Pelodiscus sinensis: one gene and its partner. The protein of the gene in region 1 interacts with the protein of each later gene in a pairwise test. Links are inferred from orthologs where the notes say so. Each region holds a gene or a part of one and is shown on either strand. Other genes may lie near its edges.

The links. The genes of interacting proteins can lie anywhere in the genome.
Region 2: the proteins of ZNF366 (region 1) and PSMA3 interact in binary tests that used the Homo sapiens proteins (3 or more experiments, as listed by UniProt). The link is inferred for Pelodiscus sinensis from reciprocal best matches to the Homo sapiens genes ZNF366 and PSMA3.

What each region holds. Positions count from the first base shown.
Region 1 is NC_134716.1:82,424,481-82,434,786, forward strand, and holds the start of ZNF366 (zinc finger protein 366), read right to left. Parts: upstream 3,891-10,306; 5' UTR 3,733-3,890; intron 1-3,732. UniProt on the Homo sapiens protein: Has transcriptional repression activity. Acts as a corepressor of ESR1; the function seems to involve CTBP1 and histone deacetylases.
Region 2 is NC_134714.1:11,338,007-11,347,965, forward strand, and holds the start of PSMA3 (proteasome subunit alpha type-3), read left to right. Parts: upstream 1-5,579; 5' UTR 5,580-5,714; coding exon 5,715-5,735; intron 5,736-9,097; coding exon 9,098-9,180; intron 9,181-9,959. Other genes in the region: ACTR10 (actin-related protein 10), read left to right, coding at 702-883. UniProt on the Homo sapiens protein: Component of the 20S core proteasome complex involved in the proteolytic degradation of most intracellular proteins. This complex plays numerous essential roles within the cell by associating with different regulatory particles.

The sequences.
Region 1 (10,306 bases):
TTCTCCTATGACTTCCATGGAGCTACACACAGAAGTAAGGCTGCAGGACATAGCCCCTATCCTTACACTAAACTATATATTAGCTAAAAAGTCTCTGAGGGGTAGCTGTGTTTAATCTGTAACTTTAAAAATGAGTAGCCCCTTGGCACCTTAGAGAGTGACAAATAGATTTAGTATCATGAGCTTTCTTGGGCAAAACTCACTTCTTCAGCTGCATCTCATCTGGATGTATCTCATCAGGAAAGCTCATGATTGTGTGTGTGTGTGTGTGTGTGTGTAAAAATATATAAAAAATATTATATTCTAAGGCGCCATGGGGCTACTCATTATTTTTATATATTTGCTAGTTAGTGTATAATAGTTCAAAACTACTGCTGATCCCAAAAATATCCCGATAAAACTTTTTTGTTAATTTTCAATGAAAATTTCGCAATGATTCATTTAGATAAAATTGAAATATTTCATTTCAACTTTGTTTCAACTTTTGTTATGTTCTGTTATAACTTATAAGATAAAAGTTGAAATCTTTTGCCTTTTTATATTATCTAATTTTAAAATATAAGTCAAGTCAGATAAATTTGAAATGAAAGTCATGTTATTAAAAAAAGGTTTTACCTTATTGAAATGAAACATTTCAACATTTACAAATGAAATTTTGGAATTTTCATTTCATTTTTATTTTGGAACAATTTTTTAAAACATATTCAGAATATCCTGTTGAATGGGAATTGGAGTTTCAAACAGCTCTACTCAAAACTATATTGTCACTATGTTTTGGGGTTTTTTAAAGAAAGGCACTAATAAGCTTTTAAATAAGATAAAAAAGTGTGTCTCTGATAAATACCTGTTTTATTGCCTTCCTTAATAACATAGGAATTAATCACTAATCACTAAAAATCTATTTCATAAACATTAAACATACTCTCTAAACTTACACACTTAAATTTATGGAGGCTAGCATTCATAACCTATGGCTACATCTAGACTGTAGGCTTCTTTTGGAGGAAGCTTTTCCAGAAGAGATCTTCTGAAAAAACTTCTTCTGAAAGAGAATATCCACACTGCCAAAGCACATCGAAAAAGTGATCTGCTTTTTCAAAAGACAGTGTCCACACTGAATGAACGCTATCTCACATTTAAGCTGTGATTACTATGGACGGAATGGCCAACAGAACACCTGTGTTTTTTTCTGGAGTCTTCTTCTTTCGAAAGAACTCCCTCTTCCCTATCCAAACACGCCTTTTTCTGAAAGAGCTCTTTCAGAAAAAAGGCTTCTTCCTTGTGGATAGAGGTTTACCAATGTTGGGAAAAAACCTCTGTTCTTTCGATTCTTTTTTCAAAAGAACGCAATTGGGGTGTGGATGTAAGTGAAGGTTTTTTGGGAAAATGGCCATTTTTCTGAAAGAACTCTGCAGTGTAGACATAGCCCCAGATTCTCTGCCTATAACTTTTTCGCAGCAAAGTGAGATAAGGACAAAACTCCATTTCCAAATCTCTCAAAGCGAAGTTAGTTAGTTAGTTATAATGGTATTATTTTATAAAATCATGTTGTAGTGATTTTATAACAAAAGTGCACAATGTTATACCCATTGCAAATGACCAACAAAAATGTATTGTATCAAAGAGAAATGTAACTGAAGCGCATAATCCAAGAATGAAGCACAAAACTCAGGGACTGTATTTACAACTAAATTATAAAGTGTCATTCTACATTGCTATTTTACATAAATATTAATAGAGAACTGAGTCTAAAATCAGCATTTTATGTTTGGATTAGCTACTACAACAACAAGTATACATGCTTTTTTGCTTCGGGATCATAGAATTCTCTTTTTTCCAAATTCTCAGACGGGATATCTAGTAAACATGGGCCCAGATTTCAAGTGTATATGAATTTGCTGAGATTATTAACACTGAAATCTGGATCTAAATTTTGTAGTTGGCTCCCAACTTAATCACGGATTGAGCCTAAATGCTGGATTCAACCTTCCCAGAATTTTGGGGCGTCTGCAATCCCAGATCAAAATTTTGCAGGTGGGACCCATCAATAGTGGGAACAGCAGTAGAACAGAAAAAATCTGCCATTCCAAGCAAATGGCATAAAAAGGCTTCTCTGATTATCGTAACTGACATATTAATGGGGACCCAGTTTTCAGACGTAGCCACCTAAATAACTATCCAAACTCTACATTTGGTTGTCTGAATCAGAACTTGGTCACATAAAGTGGCCTTTATGTCCAACTAAGTGCCAAACTGGGCATCCAAATAAAAAAAGTATGCATCTCATTTTCTTGCGTACACTTGAAAACTGGTTTATACTGGTAACCTTAGAAAACATTTTGTAGGTGACGTATCATCCAAAGCTCATGAATAGCACCAAATTAGATAAATTGGTACGTTTAATTTCAAACCATATTAAACAATACATTGATTAACTCCTTCTTTTTAACATTAGTTATAAAGTACTGGAGAAACATGTAATTTTATCAGAAAGCTTGCTAATTTGGGATAGATCACTCCCTACCATTGGAAAAGGGGGAGAGGGGAGTATAGAAAAGAATCACAAGGAAGAAAAATGTGTTCATTCAGTCATTGGGGGAAAAGTATATTCCCACTTCAGAGGAAGCACAACCCCCAGAACCCATGAATCTCAGAGGATCCATCACCAGCCAGAGTTGTCTGTACCTGGTCTCGAGTGCCCTGCCCTGCATTAGGAGCTAAGCAGCCAGGGACTTGATGTCCCACAAAACATTCTGATGTCTCACAGACAAGTTAATATGGGGCCAAGCGATGATCTAGATACTCTTTTGTAGAAACGTGACACATTCTACTCCTCATTCCTACTATGCCTTCTTGTATAAAAGTTGCTATTTGTGTTGTTGCCTGCCTTATACAAATAACTTACATGCTTACATCACACTCTTTGCTAAATGTGCAGTCAGACTTTGCTAACTTGATCATTAGAAACTGTAGTTGACGGGCCATTGGTTGATAAAAAATATAACTGAGTAGATAGCATTTTATCATGTTATCATCCTTGGTGGATAATCTTACTATTTATGACATTGGTTGTAACTTAGTCTTTTAAAAATGAAACTGGATCTCACTCAAGTGTTCAAATATCACTGCTTTCAGACTGCATATATCAAAGGTACTGAGAGATACAAACGTGTATTCACACACCCAATAAAGCTCTGTTTTAAAAAAAAGAGTAGTAATTCTTTCTTTTTTATGGGACAGCTCGATGACAGTTCAGTTGCTCATATAATACTTGAATGAATATGTCCTAGGTAATGGTCAGAGATGAACAAACTATACTAGCCTATCAATTGCATACCTACTAACCCTATCTCTGCCTTTGTGAGGTCCCAGTAAACCTTACTGAAACTTTCACTATAAAGTCAGTGAAGTGTGTAACAAGCTACAATGGCTGCTGGAAAGGAAAGGTCAACTACTCAGCTTCATATGAAAGAATTTGCACTATTGAAAACTGCAAAGATTATCAATCTCACTGAGAAATCATTCCTCAATATATTGATTATACCTCATACAACTAATAGCAGTATTTAAAAAACTGCCAGTAGATATGTTATAATGACAACATATACCACATGTCAAGGCATACAGTCATTATTTTTAAACTAGTAGTTGATAAATAACTTTCCTATATTTATAGATATATCTACTAAACTAACAAAGATTTCAGTAAAAACTCTTTCATGGTAAACTTACCAATTGTTGAAGTTGGAATGAGCTAAGCTCTCTACCTGCTTTCCTGTTGGCAATCTCTCCTGCTCCCTGTATTGAGATTGCAGTAAACTTAGAAAATGAGCAAGGACAATGTTTCAAATGACTTAAGAAAGAGAACAGGAACAATCACTTCGTTCTCTTTTTTCAGATGAGTACAGTACCTTCAGAAAGAAGGAAGGAAGGGAGGGGAGAGGAAGTCAACAACTCTTTGCTTTCCTGCAAAAAAATAAGGAAACAGTAGATAGCCATCTCATTTTCGCTCAAACAAAATGTTTGGAAAAATAAATACAACTGAACCAAAAGGAATTCCTCAAGTATTATATCTGCATTATTGGCTTCATAAGGACTAATTTATAGCTGTCTCTGTGCAACTACAACAAAACAAATGAAGTTCTAAAAGTAGTATCTAGGATTAAAATGCCCATATCTCATGCAGAGAACTCCATTAGCCAAAAGGGTACAGATAACATAATCCTACATGCCAAACAAGGAGAAATCTTATGTCACAGTAAAAACAACACACACACAGAGAGAGAGAGAGAGAGAGAGAGAGAAAGGAATGAAACATCTCTTGGTGCGTTAAAAATAAATTAACAAATTTAACTTTTACAGAATGTTATAAAACTGAAACACTTTTTGAGTCTCATAGATAAAGTGTAGGGGTCATATTTATCTGAAGTCAGAATTACACCAGAGATTAATTCAGCCTTTCTAAGAATGGAAAACCATAGCATACATGCAAAATGCCGCTGTGTATATCAAAATTAGATTTATCATGCTGTAGATATATTTTAATGCTGCTTAAGTGGGAAAAGAGGCAGAACTGAATTTAAACAACAAGGAGTCTGGTGGCACTTTAAAGACTAACAAATTTATTAGGATATTAAAACATAAGTTTTCATGAGCTACAACTCACTTCCTCAGATGCTGAAGAGATAAAGAAAGGCACAGTGAGTGAATGACCATACTTATGAATAGGCCTGCTGAAAGCAGGGGCAAAGAGGGCAGCAGCCCTAGGGCCCAGCAATTTTCCTAGGGTCTTGGGCTCCATACCTCCACCGCAGCACTTACAGGAACATTGGCCAGAGCCCCAGGCCCTTATAATTGCCACTGGAGCATAGTGCCGCGCACTCTGGGCAGTTCTGAGGTCTGGGTGTGGTGAGGAGGCTAGCACAGCATGCTTCGGGTGGTGCCGAGGGCTTCCCCCAGTCCTTCCCCTTCCTCCCGAGATCCTACCTCTTCTGGGAGCATGGCGCTATTCCCCCACCCCCCACCTCTCGCCTCCTTGCCCAGAGCCCAGCAAGTCTGTTGCCCACCCCTGCTTATGAATCAATTTGTTATATTCCACTCTTCATTTTCATGGCTGCTTATTTTTCATCCAGTCACAGTAACAACCCATAGAAAATTATTTTTCTTTCACCAATTTGTGAATTTATTGACATTTTTACTCTAAGACAAACATTGGTGCCATTAAGGGTTTCAGGTTTTTCCCTGGACTGTCTTCAACAAGCATTGAGTAAAAAGTCATCTTTGTGCCCTGATAGTTTTTCCGTGTGGTAGCAAAGGGTGGAAGGCTTTTTGATGAACACTAAAGGTATAAAGTTAAATGAACCTTGTTGAAATTAACGGCATTATAGAAGTATAAATCCATTGTTAATGAGAGTAGAATTTGGTCAATTGTCCTATATTATTAATAAATTGTTATTTACTGTACAATAATGAGACATGAAAAGCTGACAGACTGAAAAAGTACCTTTATGCATAGAATAGTACTGGTACTATTCCCAGGAGAAGTCTTACCACTGACTTAATTGTAAAAACCTTCAATTCATATTTAAGCCACTTAAAACTTTAATTATGAAAGTCAGGCTTTGACATAACTAGGCGGGTGAAAGAATGATGTGACTAGTATTTCCTGTTGTATGTGGAAAAGATAAAACATTAACGAGGGGGCAAATAAAAAAACAAAGATGAAAAGGGTAGACCTGTGGCACCTTAGAAACTAACAAATATATTATATCCTGAGCTTTCATGAGTAAAACCCACTTCATTACATGAGTTGGATTGGAAATTACAGAATACAGAGTATATATAACAGCAAAAGCAGTTACCTGTCTATTGTAGGACCAGTGTTAATAATGCTAGATGTGTCCCATTCATAGTTTTTGATGTGCAAATGTGTATATCAAAGGCATGGAAAATTACCTTTGTAGAGTGTTAACCAATTAATATCTTTATTCAAGCCCAAGTTGATGGTGTCGAACTTGTAAATGAATTCCAAGTTCAGCAGTCTCCCTCTGTAATTGGGTGATAAAATTCCTTTGTAGAAGAATAGTTACTTTTAAATCCATTATAGAATATTCAGGGAGGTTAAAATGTCCCCCTATAGGTTTGTGTTACCATTCCCGACAGATTTGTGTCCATTAATCCTTTGTCACAGAGACTTAGCAGAGGGGCATTGGCAGAGGGGCATTGCTGGCACTTGATGTCATACATCATATTAGAGGATGTGCAGTTGTATGAGCCGCAGATGTTGTGACATATGTGGTTAGGTTCTGTGATGGCGTTGCCTGTATTGATGTGTGGACAGAGTTGGCAACTAGGTTTGTGGCAGCGGTAGGTTCCTGGGTGAGTGTATCTGAAGGTAAAGACTGGCCTGTCTCCCAAGGTCTGTGAGAGTGAGGGGTTGTTTTCCAGGACAGGTTGTATATTGTCAATGATGCACTGGAGAGGTTTAAGCTAGGGGCTGTAGGTAATGACCAGTGGTGTTCTGTTATTTTCCTTGTTTTGTCTGGAACTATGTGACTTCTGGGTACTTCTCTGGCTCTGTCAATCTGTTTCCTCACTTCCCCAAGTGGGTATTTAAGTTTAAAGAATGCTTGATAAAGATTGCATAGGAATTTGTCTCTGTCTGTGGGATTGGAGCAGGTCTGGCTGTATCTTATGGCTTGGTTGTAGACAACAGATTGTGTGATGTGTCCTGGATGGAAGCTAGAGGCATGTAAATAAGAATAGTGGTCAGTAGGTTTCTAGTTTAGTGTGGTCTTTGTGTGACCATTATTTATCTGTACTGTATTGTCAAGAAAGTGAATCTCTTGTGTGGACTGGTCCAGGATGAGGTTGATACTGGGGTGGAAATTGTTGAAATCTCTGTGGAATTTTTTAAGAGTCTCCTTCCTGTGGGTCTATATGGTGATGATGCCATCAATGTAGTGTAAGTAGAGAAGGTGTGGCAGGAGAAGGGAGCTGAGGAAACATTGTTCTAGGTCAGCCATAAAAACGTTAGCATTTTGTGGGGCCATATGTGTGCCCATAGCAGTGCACTGACTTAAAGATATAGATTGTCCCCAAAATGGAAATAGTTATGGGTGAGGACACAGTCACACGCTTAGCCACCAGGTATGCTGTGGCATTATCAGGGATACTGTTCCTAACAGCTTGTAGTGCATCTTCATGTGAAATGTTTGTATAAAGAGCTTCTTCATCTATGGTAGCCAGATGGTGTTTTCAGGAAGATTAGTGATGCTCTGTCGTTTCCTCAGGAAGTCAGTGGTGACTTGAAGATAGTTAGAAGTGCTGGTAGCATAGTGCCTGAGGAGAGAGTCAACATAGCAAAGGGTTAACTTTAAATATATGTGCCATTCCAGAAGTATTTAGTCATTCCTCAGAGAAAGAGTATGTAGTCAAATGGCATTTCTGCCAAGTACTGAGTATGAGTAATGTAAGGAGGATATGAAAAGGGATGATGGAGGCATATCATGCACCATTTTAACAGTCAGAGTAAAATCTGTATTTATTTTGAAAAACATTTCCCAATAGTCCTAAGTCCCAAAATATGACAACAACTTCCAGTATTTCAAGCTATTAGTAAATTATTTTATGGAGATCCACCTTGTATGCAGGATTGCTACACCGAAAACAATGATCAAATATAATAATTTGGTTGTTCCCCATTTGGAACATACTGCAGAATTTAGTCAAGAGCTGATATAGTCAGAGGAGAAGCATTATCCTAGAGATCAAGACAGAGATATTTGAGTCATATTGAGTCCATCTTGAATTACAAACTTCATGGTGACTGACATCTCTTACTTTTCAAAAAGAGCATTTATTTTTGTGAAGCTTTTCAAAAGCTAAAGTGCTGTGCTGTACCCCCACAACATTGAAAGAAATTCTTGGCTCTTAAATCAAAAAACTTTCCTCAGGGTGTGCCGGGCCAAGTCTGGGCACAGCTGAGGGCGTCTGCTCAGGGCGAATTGCTCAAATCCGGGGCTCCTTACAGCCCCCAGACTGGTGACCTCTCCAAACAGGCCACAAACCAGTCTCACAGAGCGCTTCAGCTGCCTGCCTGAAGCCTCACGAGCAAAACCCCTCTGACACCCCAGCAATATCCGTGCCCCAGATGGCCCCGGGCCTCATACACAGATGGGGGGTCCTAGCACCCAATCCCACCTACCCCAAACAAGTCCTGTCCGGTTCCAAGAAACCAGCCACAGATCCCTAGTCAATTTACCCTCTGGATCTTACCCACAAATCACGCTGGGCCAATCCTTTAGAATCTATATCTAAAGGTTTATTATCACCAGAAAGAAAAGCATGAGAGTAAGGTTGCTAAAGAATCATACATCACATGCATCGAAACTCCCAGCCCTCGATGCAGGCTCTAGCAGAGATGTTACAGCTGCTGGTTTAAAAGTTCTTGTTGCACATCCTAGCATCAGGATGGGTTCACTGGTCTTCCGGGCTCTTCGATCCCTGCAATGCTGCCTCTGGGATGAAGTGCTGAGCTGAGAACAAGATGGCGTTGACCACATGGCCTATTTATCCCTCCTTCCTGGTCCCTTCTTGGCTGTAGCAGGTCACCTGGTCAGAGGCCAATCTCTGTGTTCCCTGCTGGCAGCTCTCAGGTGACAGCCCCCATTCTTTAGGTGTGTCCTTGGCCCATTGAAAGCCATTGTCCCACAGGGCCTCGCTAATTAGCATGTCCACAGGCCTGGCCCTGCCCAATGCTCAACCACATGCAGGGAAATCTTCAGTATCCATACAATTACATGCTAATAATTGCATACACAGACATTATACAAACACATGAACAGCGTACATAGGATTATCAGACAGTAAGCTTCTATTCAATACCTCACATGGCCCCCTTCTATACCATTTTTGGGGCCAACACCCCCACTTATGGGTGCATCAGTGATCTGGCTGCTCCCCTCAAGATCCAGTAACGTGACACAGGGATAGACAAAACATATGTTTTTGATGCTTTCAGAAGTGAAGTTGAAGAAAAATCAGACCTATGTGCTATCATTGAATATAAGGATGCCAGATTCACCAGGCTAGAGCATGGCTTCTGTACTTTGACTCCAGACATTGATTGGTTTAAAAAAAACCCAAAAAACCAAACACACCTAATTATGGCATCAGTCATTAATATGTAAACCATCTACTAGACTATTTTTATACTTCATACTTTTATACTTTATACTGAGTGAAGAAGAAAAGGAGAGCTTCATACTGCAGTGGCTGCATTATAATCCAGTCAAATCGACAACAAATGGTAGTGTGCATTGATATTTAACAAAACTTCTAACTGCCATGTGCAGTTGTCTATTAGGATATATTACTAGTGGTGGAAATACCCTTGTTGTTTTTCTGTTGTGCTGCAGTAGTAGAATACATGTTTCCTCAATTAATTTATCAAAACAAACCAATTCACATATATGCATCAAAGTAGAAGCTCCGGGCCCATCAGTCTACTCTCTATAAGCCTGAATGTAAATAAAACACAAAATATATTCATGGACACAGTCAAAATGAGCACTCTGCAGACAGCATGAATGGAGGGCTTAACTAATGATGTTCTTCATGATCAAATCTAGATTTGAAACAAATGGACACTAAAAATGGTTAATTGGGTACTGGATTTGTTTTCCATGAATTTGAAATAATTTGATAGATTATTAATTCTGACCTAGTCTCAGTCTGTGGTAGCTGGCATTTTTTCATTTTACAATTTAATGAGGACACATTTTAACAAATCAGACCAAGAATGAATCAGACATGCTGAAAACAATACATAAATAAATTAAATAAATAAAATTAAATAAAATACAAAACCTTGTCACAACCATCCACAACAAAACAAAATGAATGTAGAGCAATACCTTCAGACAATTGCACCAGTAACAATACTTCATTTTAATTTGAGAGAATAAAATTTGGACATTATCACATAACCACATTATCATGTTGGCCAACAAAATTAGATCTTAGTTACTTGTGAGCAAATGCCTCAGGATAAACAATGAGGGGTCCTATGGCACCTTAGACTAACAAACTCATTTGGGCATAAGCTTTCATGGTCTGGAATCCACTTCATCAGTGCATCAGAATGTTTTCCTCCCAGCCTCATGTGTGCTGATGGCTTGTTTAAGTAATGCATAGTAATGTTTCCTTGACCTAAAACCAGACATAATTACTATAAAATAATCTAATTGCTTCTTGGAAGTCAGTCTCAGATATGCCTCTTTCACTTTTTGGTTTTGGTTTAAAT
Region 2 (9,959 bases), on another chromosome or scaffold:
GACTGCTAACTCCATTGCACAACCCAGATATCTGCTGTAGACACAGAATATTCAGGCTCTGTGTTGGATTTTGGATGCGGTGTTGTGAATCTGGGAAAGAGAAGGGTTAAGAGAAGTGCTTCATGGTGATTCTGTGAGGCTAAAAGGATTTCTTCTGCCAATTTTTGAATGTATAATCTCTTTCAGATAATAAACAAAGCCTTGTGCATAACTAGAGTAGAATGTAAGAGAAATAAATTTTTAACACTGGTTGAAATAGAGTGCCATAGAACTGCCAATGTTTGATATTGTGTGTTTTATCAGCCCGTCTGCAGCTCCGTATCAGGAATGTAGACTTGCTTTTCCACACGCCTGCGCAAACATAACTCTTGTGCATGTTTTGCCATGCTAGCAGATTCCCATAGCTCTTAGTTTCTGGGGGAATTTCATTTAACAATGGAATTAGTGGCATCTGTTTGAAGCACTTGGAGTTATAGCTTCAGGGGAAGGCCTGTGCAAGTAACTATTGGCAATAAAGCCCATGAGAGTCTTTTATTCAGTCACTTATGAAGGGTGTGAAATGAAGCAATAAAATAAGAGGGAAAGTGCGTAGACCTAGTATCTTCAGTTTTTTGTTTCTGCCTTGGTTGAAAATTGGTAGGGAGAAAGAAATTTAGTGTGATGAGAACTAAGGTGCCATTTAATTTTGTTTTACAATGTAGGAGCCATTTTTGGAGCTCTTCAGGACATTCTTGGAAGCCGTTCAGTTTCCAAGGAATATTACAGTCAGACAGGTCGTATACCTGACTGGTGCTGTCTCAATAACCCTCCTTTGGAAATGATGTTTGATGTTGGCAAAGCACCACCGCCACTCATGAAGAGGGCTTTTTCCACCGAGAAATAAGTATCTCAATACATTGCAGCTACACAAGGATTGTCTTCACCTGCTTCAAGCACACCTGTACAAGTTGCTTCTTGTGTATTTAGTGAATCAGGTGTAGCGCTGTTTAAAATGAATGATATAGGTGTCGTTTGGGGGCATCTTGTTGGCTGGAACTATATTGCAGTTGGATACAATTCTACATTTAGATTAAACCCCTCTCTCCCAAAACACCAGTTTTGACAAATGTGATTATGTGCTTTTTTTTTTCTTTTTATGGAAATAATGTAATTGGCACAAGTTGTTACTGAGTTGTTTGCGCTTTCTATATATGTACAGTAGATACAAAATTAAGAGGCTTAGTTTTAGATGTTTTTGTTTTGTTTTTTGTTTTAACCTCTTAGAAGAATAAAGAAGGTTCCTTGTGAAACCTTGTGGGGAAGTTTCTCTGCCACACTCACCATAAAACATTGCACATATTAATATAACCTGTTGGTTCATACATTAAAATGTCTCCTGGAAACGCAAGTGTTTTGTTGTGTGTCCATAGAGGTTGTTATAGAGACCGAGATTCCTGTATTCAGAAGCTGAACAGGGACTTGCTCCAGGATGAAGTTGTCAAAGTGTCAATTTACCTTGCCTGCTAACAACTTTTACCCCCCAAAATCTGACCACTTAGGAATTATACATGGAAAAACTTAAAATAATTAGTATGTGCTTGTTATTAGCATTAACTTTCTTTGGAATGGAGATGGAAATTAGCAGCAAAGCAAGATAGGTATTAAAAAAAAATAATTCGAAAGCAATAAATATGAAATAAAAATACAAAATTGAACTATAAGGTAAATGAGGTACAAAAATTGATACACAAACCAAAAGTAATAAAATACTTCCAATTCCTATCAGAGAATCAAATGAAAAAGTTTTTAGTCCTGTTGATGCAAATACTGTTAGCAACTGCAGAGTATAGAATTCCACCCTCCACTTTAATTATTTCAAAGGTCGGTTGAGTCAACAATTCACCCTTTTAAAAAAAGAATAATCGATATTTGGATGCACACAGCATGCTATTATCACATTAATTAATAGGATTTTATAAATTTGTTACTGCATACTGCAAGATTCTCTTACTCAGGAAAGTATCTGTAAAGTTTGAGAGTCTCGTGCACACACGTTTTTGTCAATTCTTATTATTTCCACCAGTATTTATAATATTGTTTTCTGTAGTATTTTGTGCACTCATGGTATATTGCCTTCTATTTGAGAATTATGAACACAAAGTGCACTTTAGTGACAAAGATTTGACTTACTTTTGACATTCCTCACTTAAAATTAAGGATCAGACTGCCATTAATTTATACCAATATGCCTGCCTCATAGCTATCTCCTGCTAAATGGTGATTTTCACCTACACTGTACTAACTACTGAAATACATGGATTCTTGTGCTTTTAAATCCTTAATATGAATGTGTAGATCACTGTTTAGATTTTTGTTTTAAGAATCTTTCATTACCACTAATAGGATTTTCATGGTTGATTCCTCCCTTGGCCCTTGCAGACTATTGATCAGTTTCTGGAGGTTACTAAAATGTAGTTTTAGAAATAAAATGTGCTTATATAGAAACAAAAATTACTGATTTTGAAACTAAACATAGTGTGGCGTGCAGTGGTATTTTTTTAATAGGTGTGTCCAAGAATCACTGTGTGAAGTTTTCTGGCTTGTATTACACATGAACTCAGACTTAATGATTATAGTAGCCTCTTCTTGCCTTAAATTGTTTTCTTTGCCAGCGTTATTGAGGAATACGTTTGAGCTAAGCAGATCTAGGCAGAATATCTCTAACATTAGCTACACTAATTTTTGTGTCCACACCTGGCATCTAGGCAGAATTTATCTGCGATAGTTTGTAATAGAAATCTTTGAACAATCACTGATAATGGCAAGTATTTAGCGCACTCCCCTATTTTTTTCTTTCTTACTATATATTTTAGAAATGTGTGTCTGTCTATCCATCCGTCTGTGAGCCCATTTGTTGAAAAACTCCTCTATATGGTAAAAGTGAGGACCACTAAATTTGGCATGCAGCTTTCTATTGTCATAACTTAAAGCAGGGTCATTGTGTGTCCATGCCAGGACAATGGGATGTACATGGAATGTGACTGTTTCACATCAAATGGAAAGGGAGAACTGTGGGAGCAGGGACGGTTTTACTCATGAATGACCAAGGGGGGGACAGCAAGTGCCCCAGCCCCAGAGAACAGCTGTTGGCTGGCAGCACAGCCGCCTGCCACATCTGCCTGCCTTGGGGAGCAACTGCTGGTTACTATGCAGCTCCCACCACCCCCAAGGAGCAGCCACTGACAGTGCCATGCAGCCACCATTGCCCCTGGCTGGCCCTACTGAATGCCAGAGAATGACCTGCATGGCACCTCTGCCCTGGGCCAGTCTCAGGGAGGGCTGGTGGGCAGCCTGCACAGCCCCTTCCAACTCCTAGGCTGGCCCAGGGGAGAAGCCTTGAAGAAGACAGCCCTTTGAGTGAAGTTTGCATGAGGCATGATGCTGTTGTCCCTGCCCCCACCTCTCCACACACACACACACACTGGTGTGAGACAGTCTTGAACCTTGTTATATCTGTTCTGGAAAAGTAAAAATGATTATCATCTGACTTCTGCCTAGTGTTAATCTGGAACATAGTAAGGCAGAGTTTCCTAAAACACTTGCATTTGGCTTGCCTTAACATTATAGAATAGCAACAACTATGAAAGCAGCCTGGTTAAACAATCCCCTCAGATAACCTTTTTAAAAATAAAGAATTAGTTTTCTTGTGCCACAGGGCCCAAAACTATTCCAAAAGCTAAAGGCACCTGCCAGTTTGTAGGATTGGGCCCCTGAACAAATACACCCTCACATGGGGCTCTCAGATATCACTCCTGGAGAAATTACGCACCACTGCAGAATTTGCGTTCCCTGCAGAAAATACATTTTGCCAGCGATACACTGCAATTACTTCTGCCCACCAGGGAGCAGTATCATGCTGGAACAGAGGGCAGCTGGAGCATGTGCAGGAGCAGCCAGTTACAGAGGGGGAGGAGAGGCTTCTTTCTTTACCCTGGCCGCACTGAGGAGACAGTTATGGGAATATGGGGGGAAGGAGGAGAGAAATCAGGGCACACGGGGTCGTTGGGGGAGTCACTTAAGCTGGAGTTCAGAAGGGCTAGCAGAGAACCAGGCTGGAGTAGAAGCATTGCATGGGGGGTGCAGGCACACATGGAGGGGGAGGAGGTGGTGGAGTGGGGGTGCAGGCACAAGGAGGGGGGGCAGGCACAAGGAGGAGATAGTGGAGTGGGGGAGCAGCTGGTGGAGAGTGGGGGCAGGCATAAGGAGGAGATGGAGTGGGGGTACAGGCACATGGGGGGGAGGTGGTGGAGTGGGGGTACAGGCACACGGGAGGAGGTGGTGGAGTGGGGGTACAGGCACACGGGGGAGGAGGTGGTGGAGTGGGGGTACAGGCACACGGGGGGAGGAGGTGGTGGAGTGGGGGTACAGGCACACAGGGGGGGAGGAGGTGGTGGAGTGGGGGTACAGGCACATGGGGGGAGGAGGTGGTGGAGTGGGGGTGCAGACACATGGAGGGGAAGTGGTGGAGTGGAGGTGCAGGCACATGGAGGGGGAGGAGGTGGTGGAGTGGGGGTACAGGCACACGGGGAGGAGGTGGTGGAGTGGGGCTACAGGCACACGGAGGGGTCGGAGGTGGTGGAGTGGGGGTGCAGACATGGAGGGGAGGTGCAGGCACACGGAGGGGGAGGAGGTGGTGGAGTGGGGGTACAGGCACACGGGGGGAGGTGGTGGAGTGGGGGTGCAGACACATGGAGGGGTCGGAGGTGGTGGAGTGGGGGTGCAGGCGCACATGGAGGGGGAGGAGGTGGAGGAGTGGGGGTGCAGGCGCACATGGAGGGGTCGGAGGTGGTGGAGTGGGGGTGCAGGCGCACATGGAGGGGTCGGAGGTGGTGGAGTGGGGGTGCAGGCGCACATGGAGGGGGAGGAGGGGGGGTGCAGGCGCACATGGAGGGGGAGGAGGTGGAGGAGTGGGGGTGCAGGCGCACATGGAGGGGGAGGAGGGGGGGTGCAGGAGGGGGAAGAGGCGGGGTGCAGGGACATATGCTGATAGGAGGAAGGGGGCTGAATGGGGTGCAGGAACACAAGGGGATTGGTGAATGCAGGACCTTACGAAGACAGGGGAAGGCAGGGGCTGAGTGGGGGTTCCCCACCCTTGGAGAGGGGCCCGGCTAGAGAGGCCCCTGCAGCGCTGCACGGTACTTCCTCCACCCCCCAGGTTCACCCTGCGGGGTTGTGTCTCGCTTTGCAAAGCGTATGGCCGAACCTGGCTCCTTCGCACGCAAACTGAGCTGTTGCCATCGCTGTTGGGGTAAAATTACAAGAACCAAGACAAGCCATCCATACTCACTAACAGTCGAAGAACAAAATCATCGCCCAACGTGGGGCTCGAACCCACGACCCTGGGATTAAGAGTCCCATGCTCTACCGACTGAGCTAGCCGGGCGTTGCACAATAGCTTCCTCCAGGGGCTATTCGAAATGTAGCCTGGAGCATGCGTAGAACTGATTATCTCGAGGCGCACTTACGAGACTCCTCCCCTCTCGAGTCACAGTCTCTGGCCGGCCGCGCCCTCGCGTCAGTGCCCCGTTGACGTTCACAAAGGAACCTTCTGTGGAAGCTGATTGGCTGTTGTGCGGACCAATGGGAACGCGCGCTGGCGCGCGCACAGCCCCGTGAACTCAGCGCAGCGTGTTGTGGGTCTGTCCGGCGTTCGTTCTCCGCACGGCTCCGCCGCCATGAGCTCCATCGGCACCGGGGTGAGTGCGCGTGCTCGCCGGGCCCGCCGCTGACAGAGTTTGCGGGGAGGGGGAGTCTGCGCGCGAGCCTTCCTCCCCCCCGCCCCCGCCCCCGCGGGGCGCGAGGCAGAGCGGCCGTTGTGCGCCGGGCCGCTCTGCTGAGTCACCTGGGCCCGCGCGACTGGGAAAGCGAAAGTGTAAGCGCGAGGCGGGGGCGGGGCACTAGGGGCCAAGGAAAGAGGAGGGGGTTTGGGGGAGGGGCACTAGGGGCCAAGGGGGGAGGGGCACCGGGGCCATGGAGAAAGGGGGGCTGGGGGAAGGGGCACTAGGGGCCAAGGGGGGAGGGGCACCGGGGCCAAGGAGAAATGGGGGGCTGGGGGAAGGGGCACTAGGAGGAAAGGGGGGCTGGGGAAAGGGGCACTAGAGGGAAAGGGGGGCTGGGGGAAGGGGCACTAGAGGGAAAGGGGGGCTGGGGGAAGGGGCACTAGGGGCCAAGGGGAAAGGGGGGGTTGGGTGGGAGGTGCCCTAGGGGCCATGGGGAAAGGGGCACTAGGGGCCAAGGAGAAAGGAGGGGCTGGGGTAGGGTTGCCAGATGGTTTCAACAAAAATACTGGACACACTTGACATTACATCACAATCTACATTACATCTTATTTAGAAAATACCAGACACTTATATTTTCTCGTTTCTATTTTCTCAATTTGTTTCCTGAACGGAAAGCTCTAGGGGCACTAGACCAATAGGCTCTCAGTTTTTTGGTTGTTGTCTTTTAAGGTTCCCAAAATATGTTATACGACAATTCAACATTTCTCCTGGAGTTAGAGGGTGCTGGAGCTCAGGGCTTCAGCCCCACCAGGTTTGTGGATCTCCTGAAACGATTCATGGACCCCCCCCAGTTGAAAACTGAGGAGCTGGGGGGCTATAGGAAGTGAAGTGAATGGGTATGTGGGAAGGATTTGGGGCTCTAGGAAGAGGGAATGGGGTTCTCTGTCCAGCCGCAGACCACTGATGTACTCTTCTCAGCGTATGGATGTTCTCTGCCCCATGACACCTACTCCCCCAATCTCTGCTGTGTTTTTTAAAAGGGGCATCTCATCTGCAGGGAGAGATTCAGGATGCCCTTCTCTGAGTTCAGGTGCATGTTGTCAGTGACCTGGGGATGAATTCTCTGCAGTGGCTGGGCACTTGCCATTCAACTTAGGGATATGCATGGTTAACTAGTTACCTAGTAAACATTCACCTTACCGGTATACTTACTGGGGTAACCAGTTAACTGGGGCCCAATCAGAGCTGGCTGACCCCCAGTCTGAAGCACAGAGCAGCCTGGCTGGGTTCACTGTGCTACATGGCAAGTGAGGGCCTAGCCTGGCTTAGCTGAGCTGGTAACAACTGCGCCTTCTGCACCACTGGCTGATTAACCCATTAAACACAGTTTAACCAGTTAACATTTTAAATGGGAGTTTACATCCCTAATTTATAGAGCAAGGATGGGCAATAATTTTCGATGGGGGGCCACTCTGAGAATTTGGTAAGTGGTCAGGGGCTGCACTTTTCTATGATCTTAACAGGGAAGTGCAGGGTCTGGGATGGAGTTTGGCTACAGGAAGAAGTTCTGGGTAGTAGGAGATTGTGACCTGGGGCTAGGGTGCAGAGAGCTTGGGTGCAGGAGGGAGCTGTGACCTGGGGTTGGGGTACAGGAAGGGGTGTCAGGTGCAGGCTCTGTCCGGAAGATGCTCACCATAGGCGGCTCCCAGCTGGTGGCCCAGCTCAAGTGACTGGCTGCTGGGGCCAGTGGATGTGTCTCCGTAACCTGCCCCTGCCCCATCACCATCCTTGCAGCCTCCCATTTGTCAGAAACTCGCCAGTGGCAGTGCTTGTGGGCACATGTAGTACACAGATCTGCTGCTCTCTTTCCCCTGCTGGCTGCTTTTGCCCACAACTGTTATAAAGGATGCTATTTTCTATAGACATGCACACTGAGCAAGTGCTTGGCAAGGATCTCTGCCATTCTGACCTGGGATAATGCAGTACGTAAGACTATGGGGCTGCGTCTACACTGGCAAGATTTTGCGCAAGAACACTGACGTTGTAATGTACAAAATCAGTGCTTCTTGCGCAAATACTTTGAAACTCCTGCTCAGAGATAAGTCCTTTTGCGCAAGAGGCCGGTGTAGACAGGTAACATCAAGTTCTTGTGCAAGAAAGCCCGATGGCTAAAATGGCCATTGAAGCTTTCTTGCGCAAGAGAGCATCTATACTGGCATGTGCCTTTGCGCAAAAGATTTGCTTTTGCGCAAAAGCATCCAATCTTTTGCGAAAGGCACATGCCAGTATAGACGCTCTCTTGCGCAAATACTTTTAGCGGGAAAAACTTTTCCATTAAAAGTATTTGTGCAAAATCATGCCAGTGTAGACGCAGCCTGGTTGTGTCTGCACTACAGATGTTACAGTAGCACAACTATAACCAATATATGCTGAGACACATCATTTTTGCACTGGGATAATTAAACCACATGAGCAGAGGTAGCTATGTCAACTTAGCTTTGTCTGTGAACTTATGTTGGTCAAGATGTATTTTTAACACTCCTGATTGACAAAATTTTACTGACAAAAGTGCTAGTGTAGATATAGCCTTTGGCTCGGTAAGAAATAATAAAAAGATAATCTGATTAAGAATGAATCAGACCTGAAAACTGTTTTTTGGGAACATTGGATGGTCTGGATTAAACTTACATATTCATAATGGATGCTTTCATGAAATAGCCTCTCCAACATATTCATAAATGATCTGAAAAAAAGGAGCAAACAGGGAGGTGGCAAAATTTGCAGATGGTACAGACCAGGCCCATGGCTGGAAGGGAGGTGCTCCAGCCCATACATGTTAACTGCAACCAGTAAGCATCACTTGTTAAGGGTACTTATTGATTAACCTTTCATGTCCCTATCATCAAGTGATCCATCCTTTGTCATCCCATTACAGACAACAGGAACAGCCCCTGCCTATGATGTGCCTAGGCCTGCGGTAGACCAGTCTGCCTGTGGCCTTTTTGCCTGCCTCCTCACCCTCCCCCCATAATTGGCTAACTGGTTAAACATCACATCGAACCCGTCAAACATCATGTCAAACCGGTTAATCAGTTGAACAGGATTTTACATAACCTGTTCTGTTAATTTCCTCTGGGGCACCTGGCATTGGCCACTGTCAGAAGAGAATGCTGGGCTAGATGGACCTGGAGTCTGACCTAGTATGGCCGTTCTTGTACAGATTTTCTCCAGAGACTCACTTTAAGACTTTTCATAGAAAAATAGCTTGGTACTACCGCTGTGTGAGCTGTATTTGTAAATGTATGCTGAGCAATATGTTTGTTTTTCTTCCTTTACAGTATGACCTGTCAGCTTCCACATTCTCTCCAGATGGCAGAGTATTTCAGGTTGAATATGCTATGAAAGCTGTGGAGAATAGCAGGTAAGATGAATGTCTTTGTTTTTTGTTTCACTTGTTTATTTAAAAATGACAAGAGAAATGTGATTAGGGCAGACAGTTAAAATGATATTGCAAAAAAAAAAAAAAATTGCACTCCTGAAATAAGTGATAAGTAATTGTATGACTGTATTAATCTCAGGAAGTTCTTCAGATTAAATATAAAGGGAGTATAGTTGCCCTTATTTGTTCTTTAGTTTGGTCAAAAACCGATTGCATATGTTCTTAGTATATATGGTACATACATATTATAGTAATAGACTATATTAATAGCAAAAGTCCATATAAGTGATGGTGAACTGAGGCACTGAGAAATAAGGTAGCAGCTGTAGAAATGTAAATATTGTGCTGTAGCACAATCTGGATATGTTGACTATTAAATGCAGATAAAATGCTTTGAGGTATGGATCAAATCGTCCTATATTTGTACAGCATCCATGTCTCTGGATACAGTTGTAATAGAAAAAACATAGTTCAAAATACATCTGTGGTACACCAGCTAGTATGAATATCTAATATCTTTGGAGTATATCACCATTTTAATGACGTCATCAAAGGATAAAGATCTCTTACTTCTATAATACCTAAATCTCTGGAATATCCCATAAGTCTTAAATATGTGTCCAGAACTATTTTGCAGTAATTCTCACTATGGTATGGACCAATTGGTAAGAACTATTTAATTTCACTGTAGTGCTTGTTCTAGTAATTTTTCTTCTTTATTCACTTGGTCAGTGAGTTTTTTTATGTGTCTAGATACTTTC